Linked DNA regions of Xenopus tropicalis. The protein of the gene in region 2 interacts with the protein of the main gene of each other region in a biochemical or structural test. Links are inferred from orthologs where the notes say so. Each region holds a gene or a part of one and is shown on either strand. Other genes may lie near its edges.

Region 1 (4,729 bases), on a different chromosome or scaffold from region 2:
ATATAGTAACACTGCTCCGAGAAGGTGATCTTGTTCACCGTGTGGCGAATGAGCCCGGCCTTCAGCAGGTTACTGGCAAACTTGCGCGCCTCCCGCCGGTCCTGGAAGCCCTCCACGTGGTGGTACAGCCAGTCTACCATGTCTGAGCCTGGGGGGGGCAAGGGGACAGTCACGTACACTGGGGGGGCAAGGGGGCAGTCACTGGGGGGCAAGGGGGCAGTCACGTACACTGGGGGGGCAAGGGGGCAGTCACGTACACTGGGGGGGGCAAGGGGGCAGTCACGTACACTGGGGGGGGGCAAGGGGGCAGTCACGTACACTGGGGGGGGCAAGGGGGCAGTCACGTACACTGGGGGGGGCAAGGGGGCAGTCACGTACACTGGGGGGGGCAGTCACGTACACTGGGGGGGCAGTCACGTACACTGGGGGGGGGCAAGGGGGCAGTCACGTACACTGGGGGGGGCAAGGGGGCAGTCACGTACACTGGGGGGGGCAGTCACGTACACTGGGGGGGCAGTCACGTACACTGGGGGGGGCAAGGGGGCAGTCACGTACACTGGGGGGGGCAAGGGGGCAGTCACGTACACTGGGGGGGGCAAGGGGCAGTCACGTACACTGGGGGGGGCAAGGGGGCAGTCACGTACACTGGGGGGGGCAAGGGGGCAGTCACGTACACTGGGGCGGGCAAGGGGACAGTCACGTACACTGGGGGGGCAAGGGGACAGTCACGTACACTGGGGGGGCAAGGGGACAGTCACTGGGGGGGCAAGGGGACAGTCACGTACACTGGGGGGGCAAGGGGACAGTCACTGGGGGGGCAAGGGGACAGTCACTGGTGGGGCAAGGGGACAGTCACTGGTGGGGCAAGGGGACAGTCACTGGGGGGCAAGGGGACAGTCACGTACACTGGGGGGGGGGCAAGGGGGCAGTCACGTACACTGGGGGGGGCAAGGGGGCAGTCACGTACACTGGGGGGGGGCAAGGGGGCAGTCACGTACACTGGGGGGGGGCAAGGGGGCAGTCACGTACACTGGGGGGGCAAGGGGGCAGTCACGTACACTGGGGGGGCAAGGGGGCAGTCACGTACACTGGGGGGGCAAGGGGGCAGTCACGTACACTGGGGGGGCAAGGGGGCAGTCACGTACACTGGGGGGGCAAGGGGGCAGTCACGTACACTGGGGGGGCAAGGGGGCAGTCACGTACACTGGGGCGGGCAAGGGGGCAGTCACGTACACTGGGGGGGGGGGCAAGGGGGCAGTCACGTACACTGGGGGGGGGGGGGCAAGGGGACAGTCACGTACACTGGGGGGGGGGGCAAGGGGACAGTCACGTACACTGGGGGGGCAAGGGGACAGTCACGTACACGGGGGGGGGCAAGGGGACAGTCACGTACACTGGGGGGGCAAGTACCGTTAGTTACCCCATGGAACTGCCCCACAGAGGCATCCCTGCCATTAGTACCCCATGGAACTGCCCCACAGAGACATCCCTGCCATTAGTACCCTATGGAACTGCCCCACAGAGACATCCCTGCCATTAGTACCCCATGGAACTGCCCCACAGAGACATCCCTGCCATTAGTACCCCATGGAACTGCCCCACAGAGACATCCCTGCCATTAGTACCCCATGGAACTGCCCCAGACCAGACTGACCCCATGAGGGGGCAGAGGGAGGGGCAAGAGGAGGGTCTCACCCAGGAAAGCGTTGGGAATGGTGATTTTGAGCCACATACGATCTCGGACCTCGAGGCCGGACTCCGGGGAGGCCATGACCTTCGCGACGGAAGCCAAGTCCGTGTGTACAGAGAGGCTGAAGAGCGACACCGGCGGGAGTGCGTGGGAAACTGCAGGCACAGAAATGGTTAAACGTACCTGTCACATGACTGCCCGCGTCTGTTAACCCATTCCTTCCCAGGTGGGGTACAGGGCCCCCCAGTAGTGAGACACTTACGCTCGGTCTCAGTCACAGAGGTGCTGGAGGTCATGCTGCTCATGGAGGCGCTGCCGGGGTACACTGGGAACGATCCGCTAAGTGCAGCCGAGTGGGACACCCAGGCAGCAGGGTCAATCGGTTGGATGGGCTCGTCTGGGGGGAGGAGTCAGCACAGAGTCACATGATACAGTGAGGGAATGGGAGGGGCAGGGGAGGAGTCAGCACAGAGTCACATGATACAGTGAGGGAATGGGAGGGGCAGGGGAGGAGACAGCACAGAGTCACATGATACAGTGAGGGAATGGGAGGGGCAGGGGAGGAGACAGCACAGAGTCACATGATACAGTGAGGGAATGGGAGGGGCAGGGGAGGAGTCAGCACAGAGTCACATGATACAGTGAGGGAATGGGAGGGGCAGGGGAGGAGACAGCACAGAGTCACATGATACATGAGGGTTGGGGGGCAGGGGAGGAGACAGCACAGAGTCACATGATACAGTGAGGGAATGGGAGGGGCAGGGGAGGAGACAGCACAGAGTCACACGATACAGTGAGGGAATGGGAGGGGCAGGGGAGGAGACGGCACAGAGTCACATGATACAGTGAGGGTTGGGGGGCAGGGGAGGAGACAGCACAGAGTCACATGATACAGTGAGGGTTGGGGGGCAGGGGAGGAGACGGCACAGAGTCACATGATACAGTGAGGGTTGGGGGGCAGGGGAGGAGACGGCACAGAGTCACATGATACAGTGAGGGTTGGGGGGCAGGGGAGGAGACAGCACAGAGTCACATGATACAGTGAGGGTTGGGGGGCAGGGGAGGAGACGGCACAGAGTCACATGATACAGTGAGGGTTGGGGGGCAGGGGAGGAGACAGCACAGAGTCACATGATACAGTGAGGGAATGGGAGGGGCAGGGGAGGAGACAGCACAGAGTAACATGATACAGTGAGGGTTGGGGGGCAGGGGAGGAGACAGCACAGAGTCACATGATACAGTGAGGGTTGGGGGGCAGGGGAGGAGACAGCACAGAGTCACATGATACAGTGAGGGTTGGGGGGCAGGGGAGGAGACGGCACAGAGTCACATGATACAGTGAGGGAATGGGAGGGGCAGGGGAGGAGACGGCACAGAGTCACATGATACAGTGAGGGTTGGGGGGCAGGGGAGGAGACAGCACAGAGTCACATGATACAGTGAGGGTTGGGGGGCAGGGGAGGAGACGGCACAGAGTCACATGATACAGTGAGGGTTGGGGGGCAGGGGAGGAGACGGCACAGAGTCACATGATACAGTGAGGGAATGGGAGGGGCAGGGGAGGAGACAGCACAGAGTCACATGATACAGTGAGGGTTGGGGGACAGGGGAGGAGACAGCACAGAGTCACATGATACAGTGAGGGTTGGGGGACAGGGGAGGAGACAGCACAGAGTCACATGAAACAGTGAGGGAATGGGAGGGGCAGGGGAGGAGACGACTGGGTCACATGATTCGGTAGGGGGAGGAGAGTAGAAGACAATACAGTGAGGGAGGACATGGAAGAGGTGCAGAAAGAGTTTGGGGGTACAAGAGGAGGGGGGTGTAGAAGTGGGGGGACTTACTGCGGGGGAGAGTGAAGTAGCCCTGTGGGGAAGGGTCCCAGCATTTGGCCACGGTCAGGATAATAGGCCTGTAAGAGAGGCAGGGTAAAATTAAAGGCATAAACACTTACCCCCCAGGCTATTAGTTGCCCCTAGGACCCACCCCCTTACCCCGGCTTATGGACAATATCCCTAAGGACACGAACAGCATCGTCGTTGCTCATATTCTCAAAATTGATGTCATTGACCTGCAGAGAGAGAGAGAGAGAGTGCATGGGGGTAAGTGCCCGGGGGTATCTACCTATCCAGCAAGGGAGGGGCAACACTTACCTGCAGCAACATGTCCCCGGGTTCAATCCTCCCGTCGGCTGCCACGGCTCCGCCCTTCATTATGGAGCCAATATAAATGCCCCCGTCACCGCGCTCGTTGCTCTGCCCCACGATAGAGATGCCCAGGAAATTGTACTTCTCTGGGGAGGGAGAGGAAAGGGTTAAGAACTGCCCATAAAGGGGCGGGGTCACATGGCTGGGAGTCCCCCGGACACCCCTGGTGCAACTGCGCCAAGCCTGGGCCCAAGCACTGCCCACTGACCAGTAGGGGGAGCTGTTCCTCCTCTCATCAGGGCTGTAGTGATTGGTGGGGGGAAGCTGTGAGTCAGGGTTAAAGGTCAATCTCCTGTCTCAGTAACTGCCCCCCTGGGGTACAGAGAAGGCGAGCTAAGCCAATGGGAGCAGAGTGGGCGGGGCCGACTCACCCATATTCAGCGTGACGGTGATGATGTTGAGGGACATGGTGGAGTCGGTGACGCTGCTGAAGGAGGAGGTCTGTAAGAGAGAGAAGGCGGGGCTGAGGGTGGGGCCTGGCTGGAGCACCAATCAGGGCACTCTATAGCTATCCCTGCTGTAACTCACCCTCTCCAGGCGGGGGGGTCTCTGCTTGCGGCGGCGCCGGTGGCGCTTCAGGAGGCGGGATGCGCTGCTCTGCTCCGTGGAACTGCTGAACCTGAGGGAACAGCCATATTGGCATCAGGCCCCATGCAAGCCCCTCCCACTCCCTGGCATCTGGGCGGGGCCACAGTACCTGCTCATAGCGTCGTCCTCCTCCGAGTCACAGATACTCGTCTCAATCTCACTGGTCAGAAGCGTCGAGGAGGATTCGTACCCCGAGAGGTGCCGCTCTGCCCGTCCATTCACCCCCCTGGCAACACCTGCGGGA
Region 2 (4,997 bases):
TTTAATCTTCCTTAACACAACTCATAATTCATTACTATCCAGGGAATACCGGGGTATAGGTTAGGGCCCATGCATGCTTTGTTTCAATTTGTTTTCTTTTTAAATGTGTTGTTGCTGAGAGTGATTGGATGCTGTATGGACTGTTATAATTATATGGTATGTTTATACTAACCCACAAAAGTAGCATGATTATACTAACACCCACATAAGCGGTTGACTTCACAAGTAGCCTGTGTGTGGCCAGCTTTGCTCACAACAGCAACAATGCAGCTCTGTACAATAAGGAGAAATGTCTCATGTTCTCTTCACAGCAATAGCCCATCTTGTAGCAAGACAAGACTGCTTCATACATCCACCGGGACAGTAACCTATTACAGCCACTGATACCTGCTTTTATTTTAACCCCACTAGACTTAAAGTAACAGTAACACCAAAAAATGAAAATGTATAAAAATAATTAATATATTATATACTATTGCTCTGCACTGCTAAAAGTTGTGGGTTTTCTTCAAAAACACTACTGCAGTTTATATACATACCCTGCTCTGTAGCCATGGGGGCAGCCATTTAAATCGAAAAAAGGAGAAAAGGCACAGGTTACTAAGCAGATAACAGATAAGTAGCAGATTCCCATTGTATTCTACACAGTTTATCTGTTATCTTCTTATGTAAACTGTACCTTTTCTCCTTTTTTCAATTTAAATGGCTGCCCCCATGGCTACACAGCAGCTATTTCTATTAACTATAGTAGTCTTTCTGAAGCAAACACACAACTTTTACCAGTGCAGGGCAACAGTACATTATATTTTAATTATTTTAAAACATTTTTATTTTTTAGTGTTACTGTTCCTTTAAGTTATGGTTTACTGCATTGGTATTTCTACTCATTAAGTCATTCTTTTGTTGGGTTTCATTACAAGGGTATAATTCATGAAGTGAAAGCTATGAAGGACACCCCAATGTAATTGGTTTGTTGAGGCTTTCATGATAATGAATAATATCTTTATTTTCAGAAAAGCCATTTCTATGGCTATTTGGACAGGTTTAATTTAACTGTGCTTGTACATGCTGGGAAAATAGCTTCCATGTTAGTGACTTGGTGCCTTGTACTTTGCAGGTTATGCTGTGTGGCATGCAGGAGGTGGATTTATCAGACTGGCAGCGGAATACAGTCTATCGGCATTACACAAGGAATAGCAAGCAGATCATATGGTTCTGGCAGGTGATTATGTTGTGGCTGACGATGTGTGCGGGGCATCATCTTAACTAGGCATTGATTTTTTTTTTTTTTTCTTAAATATAATTCATTTGGATGATGTGTCTAATGTTACTAGATGTCCACAGCATTAAATGTGTGTGAAAGGTTAGCCTTACTTTGGGCCAAGCAGTAGTAGATAGCAGACCCTGCAGCTGCTGGAGGCCCCAGAAAGATAAAGAGCGATCTTTCTTATACACGTATTAAAATGCAGTAAGATTACCCAGTGGGTGTAAGAAAGTTCACCTTTCCCAAGATTTGGTGGTGGCGGGTGAGGGGAAAAAAAAGCTTTGGTTGTGTGACCCAGAGACTTTGTTTCTTTTTTGGAGCTGTGGAAGGTAGTGTGTTTGATACACATTAATCTCATACACTGTGGTACCCTAAACCAGGGATTTTCAGCTGGAAGCCCACAAACTAGATGTGGCCCTCTAAGAGATGTTTATGGTCCCCCACGGGACTTCAGTGACTTAAATACAATCCTTCCCAGGACATGAGGCATGGTGGGTAATCATATCTACATGGGAAAATGTTAGACAGCCCTACTTTATGCAGTACCAAGTCTTACTGCTGAATTAAGCTGTGCATCCTTGTTACTTTTATTTCAGTTTGTGAAGGAAATGGACAATGAGGTGCGGTTGCGGCTGCTGCAGTTTGTCACTGGTACCTGCAGGCTGCCGCTGGGAGGATTCGCAGAGCTCATGGGTAAGTGTTGGTGTATAATTTCTTCTAATTTCCTAGGCCCTCAACAATGGCTAATGCTGCTGTCTTATTGCAGGAAGCAACGGTCCACAGAAATTCTGCATTGAGAAGGTTGGAAAAGAAACATGGCTCCCTCGAAGTCATACATGGTAAGATGAATGATGTATGAGCAGTACTGACTTCCCGCTGTGTCAGTGTGCGGGAGGGGTGAGGCAGATTCCCTAAGAAGGGAGTTGGGACTGGACCCACCAAGCACATAGACAGACTATTGTATTCAGGCTATGGGCAAGCCTGTAATGCTCCAGGGGTGGTTGTAGAACCACACATAACAGCGTTCCCCTGTCACTGCAGTTAACGGTGGATTTCTAGTAAGTGTAATATAGTTGGGTGTTGATAAGATCTAAACTTCTGGAAAATAATAATTGTTTTCTCTGTAAAAGAACAACATTTTTAAGGGGAAGTTCCTTCAGAATAACTTTTAGTATGAAGTAGATCAGGGGTGGCCAGACTCTTTTTTTCCATCGTGATCGACTGACGACCGGGAAATGTGGAAGTGCGGCCTATCCTGGATGGTAGGGGAAGCCAGTGCAGGGATAGGCAGAGTGGCATGGCAGAGGAGGAGCGGTTGGAGAGGTGTATGAGCCTGGCAGCAGTATTCATTATGGACTGGAGAGGGGACAGTCTTTGGAGGGGAAGGCCAATTAATAGGGAGTTACAGTAGTCCAGGCAAGATATTATAAGAGAGTGAATAAGAATTTTGGCAGCATCTTGGGTGATAAATGATCGGATTTTGGAGATATTTCTTAGGTGAAAGTGACATGATTTGATAAGTGTGAATATGAGGGGTGAAGGACAGGGCGGAATCAAGGATAACCCCAAGGCACCGGGCCTGGGAAGATGGGGTGATGGTAGAATTGTTAACAGTTATAGATACCTCGGGAACAATGTGGGTGTTGGATGGGGGAAAGAGAACCAGTTTTAGAGAGGTTTAATTTGAGGTAACGTTGGGACATCCAAGTGGAGATAGAGGACAGGCAGGAAAGACGCGAGTTAGAAGCTCTGGGTTGAGATCAGGAGAGGAAAGATAAATCTGAGTATCGTCAGCATAGAGGTGGTACTGAAAGCCAAAAGAACTGATTAGTTTGCCAAGTGAGGAGGTATAGAGAGAAAATAGTAAGGGGCCCAGGACAGAGCCTTGAGGAACCCCGACAGAAAGAGGCAGGGGAGAAGATGATTCCCCATTGTAAGAGACACTGAAGGATCGATCTGAGAGATAAGATGAAAACCAGGATAAGGCAGTGTCACGAAGGCCAAGAGAGCGGAGAGTCTGTAGGAGAAGAGGGTGATCCACAGTGTCAAAAGCAGCAGAGAGATCGAGAAGTATTAGTAGCGAGTAGTGTTTTTTGGCTTTAGCCGAAAGGAGGTCATTTGTTAGTCGGACGCAGTGTACGTACGCATTCACGCAGCACTTCCGCATCCCCAGCTTCATCACGGTCCAGCAGAAATCCATGGGGGATTGACTGGTGGACCGCAATCGACATATTGGCCACCCTTGATGTAGATGATATTCTGAAACAAGTTGCAATTAGTCTTCATTTTCTTATAGTATTTGAATTATTTAGTTTATTGTTCTGCCCCTCTCCAGTTTTGAATTTCATCAGCTATCTGGTTGCTAGGATCAGTTTACCCTAGCAATGAGGTAGTGGTTTGAATAAGAGACTGGAAGATTAATATGAAATGGCTTAAATAGAATGATAAGTAAAAAGTAACAGTAAGATTGTATGTAGCCTCACAAAGCAACTGGTGTCAGCGACCCCATTGTTATTGTTACTTTTTATTACTTACTACTTTTTATTCAGGCCCTCTCCCATTCATATGTCAATCTCTCAATCAAACTACTTCCTGGTTGGTAAGTTAATTTGCAACCAGTTGGGTTGAGCTAACTCAATGGTGAACCACCCCTTTAAGCCTTGCCAACGGCCCTTTCTTTTGCAGTTTCAATCGACTGGACCTGCCGCCATATAAAAGCTATGAACAACTGAAGGAGAAGCTGCTTTTTGCAATTGAAGAAACGGAAGGATTTGGCCAAGAATGACAGGCAGCTAATTATTTTTTATGGACATGCATTGTATGCCCAGCCAAGTAAAATTGCACACAATTATTGTATATTGTATATATATATATATATATATGCTGTTTAGTCTGTACAGTGATCTTTCTCAAACTAATGTGTAGGTCAGGGTTAGGCAACCACTGGCATGCCAGCTGTTTCAGAACGACAACTCCCACACTGCCCCACCAGCTTTACTGATGGTGAGTTCTGGGAGATGTCATTGTGCATCAGGTGGACTGGCAAAGGGTGCCTATCCCAAAGGTAGATATTTGTTCTTCCACCTAGATATGCAAAACACTTTAGCCTTTTTCTATTTTTATTTATTTCCCCTTCAGATGACTGATTAGTTACAAAAAAACAAAAAAAACAAATAACTTTAATTTTAAACGCTGACTGAAGACTTTATTTTAAAATTTATATATATAAATATATCTAATGTGTATATACTTGGGAACTCTAGTTTTATAGAGTTGTAAGTATGCAGAACATCAGCCATTTGAGGAGGCTCGGGATCGCTTTATAACAATTTGCAAACAGTCATGTTCTTCTACAGAACATCCTTATCACAGATGTCTATTGCATGGCTGCCAACAGAGGTGTTGAGAGCTATTGCCAAAAAAAAATTAAAAAAAACCTTTGTTAATCATGCGAGAACTATTGCTGCTGGCTTTTCAGAATGGCAGAATGTGCACAGTTCTGCTCCTTTCATTTACTCAGTGTGATAGGCTGATTCTATTGAATGGTGCATATGTAGCTGAAGCTATGAGCGTGGCACCTACTTGCAGCTGCTGCTTCCTGGCCCTGTACAAAAGCAGCACATTGCTCCTCCGTGTGTTGCCATTATTGCTCAGTATAGACAGGGTTTCTGAGAGAGCAGGCTCGGTAGGGGCCACCACTTAGCTTTTAGATGACAGTGTGAGTGACGGTCTG
Region 3 (5,699 bases), on a different chromosome or scaffold from region 2:
CAAAAATACAACTGATTTGAAAAGTCCCATGTCTCCTGGGCACTCAAATTCCAAATATTTTTAGTTTTATGGAGATTTGTACGGGTCAGAAACTCCCAGCAGTACGGAACTACATTTCTAAACACTAACCCAGAAACCTGCATATTCAATTCAAGACCAAGAAAATGATATATTTTCAAAAAGAACACATTCCCCCGAATCCAAAATGGGTACCCATTTTTCTACTGCAAAGCAGTTGGTGAGTGATTATTACATGGAGAAGTCAATCATATCAGGTACAAACGATGGTAGTAGGCATGGTAACCTGGTAGGGACTTTACGTACAGAAGAATTCCACGTGTGGTAGTGAATTCTATCTGAGTGACGAGGGTTTCAATTATAAACGCCGAAGGGTACTTGGTGTAGTCCTGGGAAGGGGCGCGGGGTGGGTTTTGTTCAACCATTTCCCGGCTCCAATAGGTATTCATACATCTTAGTTACTTACGGTGGCCACACACGTGGCAATTTTTGATCTTTCGTGCAACCATCAGTCGCACGAAAGATTGTTCCCACCCTCCACTTACGTTCAGGGCTGAAACGTCAGATATGGAGGTAGAAACAATAGGATTTCTACTAGAGCTGGGCGATATACCGTTTAATACCGAATACCGGTGTTTTTTTTAAAACTATATTCATTTTTCAGATACCGCAATACCGGGGTGTCAGGGTACTCACCCGTGCGGCCCGTTCTCGCACGCCTCCTTGCGCGCGCGTCCCGTTGTCCGCGGGACATTGCGCACGCGCGTCCAGGTGTGTGTGCGTCAAAGCGCACGTACATGTCAAAGCGTGCACGTCCGCGACGCGCTAACGGCGCCGGTTCTGCGCATGCGTGGGGGGTATTTAAAGCTATCAAACGCCTCCTCCTGTGCTATGTTGTCTGCGGCCTTGCCTGGGAAACTAAGCCTGCCTGATTTACCTTACGACTTTCTGTTGCCGATCCTTCGCTTGCCTGACTCTGATTTTCAATACTACAGTAATTATTCTCTAATTTATTAGGAAATGGGGTTAACACCTAATCATGCATGGAAAAAAAAAAATACCGTCAAATACAGCGACACCGATATCATTTTGAAAAATACTGCAATATAAATTTTTGGCCATACCGCCCAGCTCTAATTTCTACCTCCTTCTGCCGATTCAGCGCTGAAGGCAGATTTTGCTCAGGCGCCTTCTACGGTGCCCAAACAAAATCTTTTAACCGGTCCGATTGGTGAGTCGACAGCCTTCTGTGATATCGGCCGCCTCGCCGAGTTGCCATACACGCACCGAATATCGTATGAAACGAGGTTACGTATATTATCGGTGCGTGTATGGCGGCTTTACCCTGGCAATACCGGACCCACCGTATGTTAGAGAAACGCAACGTAATACTTACCTGTAAGATAACTTTACCTCAACTAATATATACATCGACCAGTTAGAGACCTTCTTGTATTTCCGCCGCTATACTAAGGGGCTGATTTACTAATCCACGAATCCGAATGGGAAAAATTTGGATTGTAAAACGAACATTTTGCGACTTTTTCATATTTTTTGTGACTTTTTCGTAGCCGTTACGACTTGCGCGAATTGTCGCGACTTTCGTATTGAGCGCTCGAAAAAGTCACAAAATACCGATCATTACGAAAAAAAAACACTTTTTGGACGTTCGTGGGTTAGTAAATGTGCCCCTAAGTGTAAGAAGGGGCGAAGCAACTACGCGGGGAGTATGAAATAGCTTAATATCAGCCCTGTGATAACCTCAATTGGGATTGTATGAAATCCTGTTAGGAGAGGTTTGTAGTGAAGTAGTATGTTTAACTAACTAATTGGCCGATATAACTGTACAAAATAAGATTGGATATTCCCCATAAAGTAGAATTTAACACTTACTGCCCTGAATAGCCGCCCAAACACAGCGCTACATTGGTAACAACCGTAATACACGGAGCAGCTCTGCGCCTCAGCGCTAAGTGATCGTTACAATGAAGTATTAGCAACGCAGAAACACAACTACAACATTAGCGCCTCAAGCGGCCATGGTTTATTTTCAGTGATACACGCCCCCTAGCGATCAAGAACACATGCCAGTCATAGATCCCTCAGCCAATGAGCGGCCGGCCCTACAGCAGTGGAACCGCCCAGACTGCGTCTCAAAGTGCGAGAGACTCTTCGAGCACGGTGATTGGCTGTTGCTAGGCTGCGGAGGTGTGACCTTTTTATCTCCGCAATATGGCCCTTAACAGGAACCACCTGGATGGCGGAGGTGCAGTAATTAACAACAGCGAGAGGTAGGACAGCGGCTAAGTAGAGAGACAGTCGCGGGAAGCAGTCAGCGAAACGTTAGACGGACCCCCTGCATGAATATGGGTTCCGGGTATCTGTCATCATATATGGGGCGGAGCTTGGACATGACGAGCAGGGATTTGTGCCAATTATGGAGCTGATACAGATACACCCGCCTCCCTCTCTTTGCCTGTCTGCTGTACTATTTGTATAATATTGTGTGTGTTTTCCTATTCCCAGGCACAATATACTTAATTCTATCAGCATATCTATATATAATATGTCCCACATGTATCCCTTGTGAGATTTACTTACTAAACCCCCTTTATTATTATTTATATTATTAATTTAATATAATATTCTTATGAAGCACTTACATAATCACATGATACAGTGGAGGGGTGTATACAGTGCTGCAATATGTAGGAGATATTTAACGCTCAGACCCGGGGAAGGCAGAGTGACCCTGGAGATTATAGGAGGCCCCATAGGGCACTGACTGATAAGCAGTTTTAATAGCTTTATTATAAAAAATGTCTTATTCCTAAAGTTTATTGGGGCGCTAAAATGATTTTGCTATAGGGCTCAGTTATGCCACTGAAACCGCGTATCATTCAGTGTTCTGTTGGATCTCTTACGGTGTCGGACTGGCCCACAAGGATAGCAGGAAAACTCCCGGTGGGCCCAGATGTCAGTGGGCCCTCCTGCTCCTCAGCATTTGGCCTGCTTCATGGTCATTCCCTGTTTCTGAATGGGAACAAAGAAGAGAAATAGATGGAAGAATAGATGCTAGCATGTAAATAAAAGAGACTAGGAGAATAAAGAGGTTGGGTGAGGAAAGGAGGAAAAATAGTTTGGAAAAGCGGCCTGGGGTCTAAGGTTTTCTGGTGGGCCTCTGGGTTCCCAGTCTGACACTGATCTCTTATACCTTGGCAGTTGCAGGGTCTTCTTCCTCTACATTTACACCCTTGGGCACTCCTCTTATTCCTCAAACAGATAGTCAGTTTGGCCCAATATCATGAAGATGCACAATAACCACCCCCCACACACACCACACCCCCAAGGGGTCCCCATCATCCCAAACCCCCCAGTCTGGTGGAGGGACGTCAGTTCAGGAACACCAGCAGGGATCGAGGGGCCCGCTTGGTTTTTTCCCGGTGTCCAGCTGGCAGTTCGTCTTTGACTACTAAACTGCACTGTTCTCATTGAACTTGCCCTTTATTATCTTCCAGTATCCTTACTTCTTATGAACATGTGGAGGTCACATTTAGTGACATGGACAGCACCCCAGAGGCTTTCAGAGGGACCAAGAAAGGCAGAGTCATTCTGACACCATATCGAGTAAGTCTGCCTCCCTTTTCCTTCACTCATTAGGTGCAGTCTGACTCATTGGCACCATGGAATAAACTGCTAATGTGCAACTAAACTTTCCATTAGGTCAGAGAAGACACTTGGGGGTTATGTAATTAAAAAAACTAAATTTGCCCAGGAACAGTAACCCATAGCAACCAGTCAGCAGGTAGAATATACTTATTGGTTGCTGTGGGTTATTGCTATCAGGCAAACTTAAGGTTTAATCGAGTGGATCATTTCCACCTAAGGTGGGCAAAATTTGGCTAAATCGATTGTTTCGCCACCTGCCCATTTTTATCCAGATATTGGTTGGGTAGGCCTGCTGGGGGGCCCCATGGGCAGATAAGCGCCCGAAACGGTCTGAAGGACTCAAATCGGCAACTTAGATTTGCCAGTGTATGCCAAACTTTAGTGTCATTTATTACATATAGGGCTAGTGCCCTTCTACACCTCCTTAATAAAAGTCACAGAGGGGATCCATGAACATATAAAGGCGGCACAAAATCACTTTAATACAGGCCCTAAAGCTTTGAGGTGTCTAATATTCTCTCATTTTATTCCAAGGGGGTACATTATTCTTTCAGTTATTATTATTTCAGTGAGTCATGTGACACAGATTCTAACCTATTTATAAGCATATCTTTTACGGCTCTTGTGTATTATGCATGTGGGTGAGGCTAATTTTGCATCCACAGGTGATATTTGTGTCCAAAGGAAGGGACCCCATGCAGTCGTTCATGATGCCCTTCTATCTGATGAAGGACTGTGAAATTAAGCAGCCCGTATTTGGAGCCAATTTTATCAAGGGCAACGTGAGAGCTGAGCCTGGAGGTGAGCAGTGTTACTATCTGACGGATACCTATGCGTTCTAGGTCCCACTTCAGCTCCTGGGACACCTGCCTTTATTTTTTGCTAATATAATTTGCTGTAGGTTAAATATATCTTTTAATCTGGAATTCATTTCTTTGCCTGCAGGTGGTTGGGAAGGATCTGCTACATTTAAACTAAGCTTTCCTTCAGGGGGCGCTATAGAGTTCGGCCAGCACATGCTACACGTGGCCTCTCAAGGTGAGCAGGGGGTATCTGAAGTCACAATCTCTTGACATTTAGTCTGGACTCCCAGGACTACCTAGGAGAGCAAATACACATTTGCCACAAGCCCCACACCTCGGGGAAAAGATTTAAAGGGAAATCCCAATGGGTCAGAAATTCTGCCTCAGCCTTTGCAATGCACTTTTTCCTTTACCCATTTTTATAAAATATGGTTTCTACTCGCCCTTGTAGCCTCAAGTGGAGGAGCTCCAAATGTTGCCTACCCATATATGCCCAATGGGGGCTACGTCTTCCCACCTCCTGCAGCCAATGGCATCTACCCACCTCCACCTGCTGGTTATCCTTATCCGCCACCACCCAGCGGTAAGTCATTTTACTCACTATTATAAAATACAGGTGTGAGATCTGTCATCTGGAAACCCATTATCCAGAAAGTTCTTAAATATCTCACATAGACTCCATTTTAAGCAAATAATTCAAATTTTTCAAAATCATTTACTTTTTCTCTGTAATAATAAAACAGTACCTGTACTTGATCCCAACTAAGATATAATTACCCCTTATTGGGGCAGAACAGCCCTATTGAGTTTATTTAATGGTTAAATGATTCCCTTTTCTCTGTAATAATAAAACAGTACCTGTACTTGATCCCAACTAAGATATAATTACCCCTTATTGGGGGCAGAACAGCCCTATTGGGTTTATTTAATGGTTAAATGATTCCCCTTTTCTCTGTAATAATAAAACAGTACCTGTACTTGATCCCAACTAAGATATAATTACCCCTTATTGGGGCAGAACAGCCCTATTGGGTTTATTTAATGGTTAAATGATTCCCTTTTCTCTGTAATAATAAAACAGTACCTGTACTTGATCCCAACTAAGATATAATTACCCCTTATTGGGGCAGAACAGCCCTATTGGGTTTATTTCATGGTTAAATGATTCCCTTTTCTCTGTAATAATAAAACAGTACCTGTACTTGATCC
Region 4 (4,997 bases), on a different chromosome or scaffold from region 2:
CCCCCCTGGTTTCTGAAACTGATGTGAGTTATTACACTAGTTTTCCATTTGTCAGCTGATTCATTTTGGAGAAGGCTGATGGGTTAAGGAATGACTGGAGTTTTTACAGTGCAAGGGGGAATGTAGCATTTGTCTATTGAGCAGCACACGATAAATGCTTTGCTGATGACTGTAAATGTAACCTATCATCCTGCAGCCACCCACGGCCTCCACTGCACCTCATCTAAGCAGATATGAATGTAAGTGCTGCAGTGTCTCTTTAACTGTACCAGCCGCTGTTTGTTTCAGTTTAGGAAGTCCAGAGACTTGGCTTTTCTATATTATGTTGAGACACCATGGAGAATATTATCTAACATTTTCTAGCTGCTTTGGAATGTTCTGTGTGTATCAGTATGTGGGAGAAAGGGATCAAGCTGGCCTCAGCTCTAGTGCTGGGAATCTGCTTGGCGCAATGAATTTTGAAGGGAAACATAATTTTTAGCGTTCTGTTATTTCTGTAACATTGTTTTGGTTATATATATATCTTTTGTTTTGCCTCTAACAGAAGGTTAGCATCCACAGGCAGTACAAAATGGTATATAGGAAGGGTTTAATATGTAACCTTTTTTTCTTTTATTTTTCAGACTAGATGCGAAATGGATAAATATCTTTCACCTCATCATCATCATCATCATCATCATCAACCTCCTCCCCCACCTCCTCAAGTTAACATCATGCAAGATTTAAAAAAGTACAGGCGAGACAGTGCATCAGGTGTTGATCAGTTTTTTAATGAGAGTGATGGACTTCCTTACAGTATAAACATGAATGTCTTCCTTCCTGATATCACTCACTTAAGAACAAGCCTGTATAAGAGCCAGAGGCCACCCGTGACCCATATCAAGACAGAGCCCACTTCAGTATTTAGCCACTCAAGTGATGCTGAACCCACACAGAGTCTTCCTGAATTCACCAGCATCTTCAGTTCCCACCAAAACGCAGATGTTAATAACATCTACATCAAACAAGAGCTCCCTTCACCAGAGCTTCCGCTCTCTGTCAATCCTCAGCAGGGCCAGTTATACCAGCTTTTAAGTTCGCCAGACATTGATATGTCTAACTCCACAAACCAACCCTCAGTTATGGACACTATTAATAGTGCTTCCATGGCCACAGACATGTCTGCCTTTAATACACTTTCTTCTCCAGTACAACAGACTGCAATGAAACAATTCCAGAGCATCCCTCAGTGCTCATATGGCATGCCTAGCCAATTTCTGCACCAGCAAGAAGGAACCTACTTTCCACCTTCTCCTCCTAGCTCTGAACCAGGCAGCCCAGATAGGCAAGCAGAGCTTCTCCAGAGTTTAAACCCTCCACCATCTTATGCAGCCACGATAGCATCCAAGATGGCCATTCACAATCCACCCTTACCTGCACAGGTGCAAATAACAGCCCCTGCTATACAATCTGTACGCTACAACCGTAGAAACAACCCAGATCTGGAGAAAAGGCGCATACATTATTGTGACTACCCTGGTAAGAACCTACATGTAATTGTTCAGGGGTTTATACAAGGTAACGGTCTACTGACTTAATCAAAAGCTTAAAGGAGAGCTAAAGCTTAACAAAGAATGTGTCTAGACATGCAATGCCTTATGTTTTGGGCTTCTGTACTAGCCCAGGGCCACTAGCCATAGCCCTTTAGCAATGAAGGTCTGTGCCTTTGAATATGCGCACATGCTCTGGGCTACTTTCAGCTACCTCAGCTTAGGGACATGTGCACAATAAATAATATATACACTATACACTACAATAATATAAAATCCACCATTCAAGGATTATTGGTAATTAATTCACATTACTCAACAGCAGAGAAACCAAGGTATTCTGAATTTAATCAGCTGTGTAGCATCACCAACTTTGACATATACAACTTTAACTTTCTGGTAGTGTTTTTTACTTGCTTAGCTTGCCAATACCAGCCCCATTGAGTACATGCAGTGCCACAGATACACAAATGATTAAGATGGGGAGCTCCCATGGACAACTTTTTAAGACCTGTCCTACAGCTGCTAAACTTTTGGGCTAATAAAGCAAGTTTGGTAAATAAACATGTCTAGCAGTATTCATTTCTAGGTTTTAGTTCTCCTTTACTTATAGGGTGCATATTTCTTGTTCATTAGATAGTTGGATATGAATGAGACCATGATATATTCTTTACACAATACATTCCTTCTCTGAATATTTGTATTTAAAAATATGAGCAGGTGCTGCAGTACTGTATGTTTTAGCAGAGACTGAGCATTAACAGTACTGGTACCCCTAGTGATTATAATGAAATGGATTTGTCCGACATGGAGAATAGTGAGAATTTTGCATAAAAACTGCAGAGATGGAACCTGTACAATAATAAACCCATCTGACCTGTGTGTATAGTTGTGCATGTTCCACCTGTATATGGACATGCGCATGCAAGAATCTGGGTTATATATGTCACTGTGGCGAAACTGTACTTTGACAGCACTTATTTAAAGTAAAATCTGTCAGGTTTATAGGGCTCCATTTTGTGTAAAGAACGTCATCACCAAGTCAGGTTACCTCTAACCTTGTTGAATTTAGAGCAGTTAGATGATTTAATAGGAATAACAAGATTTTTATAAGCATCCTGCTATTTTAACGTTAATGTTTAACTTGTGTCTTTAAATCTACAATGTGCTTTTGCTTTTCGCATTCTTTATCTAAAACCCCAGTCCTTTACAGTGCAACACTGGGCAAAGAGATTAAAGGAGATACTACTTCAATAAGTAATAGTTCCAGGACAAATATGGTTGTTCTGTATATGAAAAATAAACCGGGGTTATTTGTACGACATGTTTCAAACTGGATTAAGTTATATAGCATATATGAAAAGAAATGACTATATATTAACTAAGAAATAATTTTAACAAATGAGTTTCATATTTTGAAGCATTGTATAACATAGGAGACCTTTCTGTGTGGAGAACTTTCTATATGAAGTTTATGCACACTTGGATAAATGTTATCTCTGGGCCTTCTGTAGGCTCACACTGACTTTTGGTGCATACTTCCTGAGATATATACACATTTTCTAGTGAATTCTACATATTTTAAATGCTTCGCCATTATGTCAGTGGTCAGTCTGAGGTTGAACAGGTCGAAAACAACACAGATCATCCCTGCTCCCTATCCATTGAGGGTCACCAGCATAGTGCTGAATTTAGCATAGTGAAGCAAATTAGGAACTGACTCGGTCAGTAGTGCTTTATTTGCACCCTTATGCAGTCATCATGATTTAGATTCCAACCCTTATACATAAGGGATGTAAAAATGTAAAGGAAATGAAAGGTGTTTTCAGTGAGACTTGAGGATGCCAGCACTAATTGTGCATGAGTTAGGACAGCCTTTTAATGTGAAAGTTAATCATTAGGAACAGAAAGAAAATGATAAAAGTAGCAGAGAGTCCAAGCAATGCACAGAAGCAAATGTGTCACTTTCATGTTAGCAACAGCAAATGCCAAAGTAATAATAAACTGCGCTGTACTTATAATTCTGGAATCTCCCTAGGTATTTTTAGAATGCAAGAATGCAGATGGATATCTAAAGCTCTGAATAACTTTGATAAATAAGTCCGCTCAATAGGAATAAATATACTTGCTCTGGCATTTGAAAAACTACACCTGTTGCAACTTTGAGGAATTCTTTTTTTCTTTACACAGAAAACCCACAAGGAATTCAGATTCTTCATATGTAGTATTTTACTCTTGTTAAGGGCTATGGCACATGGCGAGATTTTAATCATTTTGTTCCCAGAGGTATATAGTAGCTAGCAAAATGGGGACAAGAAACTGAAAAATTGCCCCTACACTTCTTTGGAAATTGCACTGCGCAGTCAGGCTATTTTTGTTTGGAAAGTGATTGCACTATACCTGGCAATTGTTATAGAAGTGAATTGGGGGGGGGGGGCATTGCCTTAAAAATGCGGGGGCTGCTTTTGGCATCATAGCTGCGAGTATCCTGCAAAAGAATACATTAAATGCCTTAATGGTAGACAGAGTGTTAGCGATGTTCTCTGGGCTGTTGCTTCGTGAAATGTTCATTCACAATGATAACCACCATGCTTTTTTACTCTTCTATTGCAGGGTGCACAAAGGTGTATACAAAGTCATCCCATTTAAAAGCCCACCTGAGAACACATACTGGTATGTGCATTTTTTGTTCAATTTAATGGCTGTGTAAATATTATCAATAGAAGTCTCCTCTTTTTGAAGTTGGTATGTTTTTCAATCTAAAACCTCTCATTCATGGCTAATTTTGTCAGTTGCTTTGTTCCCCATGACAGTTAAATTAAATCACCTGGCTCTTTTTCATTACACATAGGCAGGCAGCATTTAAGACAATTTATCTTGCATTATTTTTCAGTCATACTTAAGACCTTTCACCAGCAGTACAAGTACTATAAAATTCCTTAACATTTGGGCAAGCTACAAAGAGCCCTTTCACTTTAGCCTAACAGTGCAATGCAACAATTTTTTTACTTTGCCACCTTATTTTAATATGTTTATTTAATTTACCTGTGTGAAGTTTTCAAAGTAGACTGGTAACTATAACAGAAATAGGTTTTTCAACAGAATTGAATAACTTATGGCAATAGGCTTAGTAATGATGTTTCTTGTAAACTGGCAGTATATGTTTATAATTCTATAGGTATTTGTTGTGTTAGATTGGTGTCCAATGTTATGGGCATGGGCCAGGATACTACAAAGATACTACGCAGGCTGCATATCATATTGAGCCTACTCAGAGCATCCGCAATGGCATAATAAGGTCACACTGCAAGTCAGCTTACTTCCAACTTTCATAGAGATATAGTTTGCAACATATGGGGGGGAATCAGGCTTGGCAGAACCACTATGGTAAAGCAACTAGTGTTCCTTTCGTTTAAATAAAAACTCAGTGTGAGATACTGTTAATAGTCAAAAATTCCTGGTCAACAT

Evidence for each region.
Region 1: the proteins of wwp1 (region 2) and dvl2 form a complex in vitro, tested with the Homo sapiens proteins (2 studies listed by BioGRID, with this or other methods). The link is inferred for Xenopus tropicalis from reciprocal best matches to the Homo sapiens genes WWP1 and DVL2.
Region 3: of the proteins of wwp1 (region 2) and wbp2, one has a biochemical effect on the other in vitro, tested with the Homo sapiens proteins (2 studies listed by BioGRID, with this or other methods). The link is inferred for Xenopus tropicalis from reciprocal best matches to the Homo sapiens genes WWP1 and WBP2.
Region 4: of the proteins of wwp1 (region 2) and klf5, one has a biochemical effect on the other in vitro, tested with the Homo sapiens proteins (4 studies listed by BioGRID, with this or other methods). The link is inferred for Xenopus tropicalis from reciprocal best matches to the Homo sapiens genes WWP1 and KLF5.

What each region holds. Positions count from the first base shown.
Region 1 is NC_030679.2:153,290,049-153,294,777, forward strand, and holds part of dvl2 (segment polarity protein dishevelled homolog DVL-2), read right to left. Parts: intron 4,722-4,729; coding exon 4,595-4,721; intron 4,517-4,594; coding exon 4,426-4,516; intron 4,339-4,425; coding exon 4,269-4,338; intron 3,984-4,268; coding exon 3,844-3,983; intron 3,762-3,843; coding exon 3,685-3,761; intron 3,603-3,684; coding exon 3,535-3,602; intron 2,088-3,534; coding exon 1,953-2,087; intron 1,846-1,952; coding exon 1,696-1,845; intron 149-1,695; coding exon 1-148.
Region 2 is NC_030682.2:125,525,843-125,530,839, forward strand, and holds the end of wwp1 (NEDD4-like E3 ubiquitin-protein ligase WWP1), read left to right. Parts: intron 1-1,117; coding exon 1,118-1,222; intron 1,223-1,860; coding exon 1,861-1,957; intron 1,958-2,030; coding exon 2,031-2,103; intron 2,104-3,949; coding exon 3,950-4,049; 3' UTR 4,050-4,425; downstream 4,426-4,997. UniProt on the Homo sapiens protein: E3 ubiquitin-protein ligase which accepts ubiquitin from an E2 ubiquitin-conjugating enzyme in the form of a thioester and then directly transfers the ubiquitin to targeted substrates.
Region 3 is NC_030686.2:44,868,893-44,874,591, reverse strand, and holds the start of wbp2 (WW domain-binding protein 2), read left to right. Parts: upstream 1-2,183; 5' UTR 2,184-2,250; coding exon 2,251-2,309; intron 2,310-3,536; coding exon 3,537-3,645; intron 3,646-4,352; coding exon 4,353-4,488; intron 4,489-4,632; coding exon 4,633-4,725; intron 4,726-4,941; coding exon 4,942-5,073; intron 5,074-5,699. UniProt on the Homo sapiens protein: Acts as a transcriptional coactivator of estrogen and progesterone receptors (ESR1 and PGR) upon hormone activation. In presence of estrogen, binds to ESR1-responsive promoters. Synergizes with YAP1 to enhance PGR activity.
Region 4 is NC_030678.2:127,154,334-127,159,330, reverse strand, and holds part of klf5 (Krueppel-like factor 5), read left to right. Parts: intron 1-623; coding exon 624-1,518; intron 1,519-4,142; coding exon 4,143-4,202; intron 4,203-4,997. UniProt on the Homo sapiens protein: Transcription factor that binds to GC box promoter elements. Activates the transcription of these genes.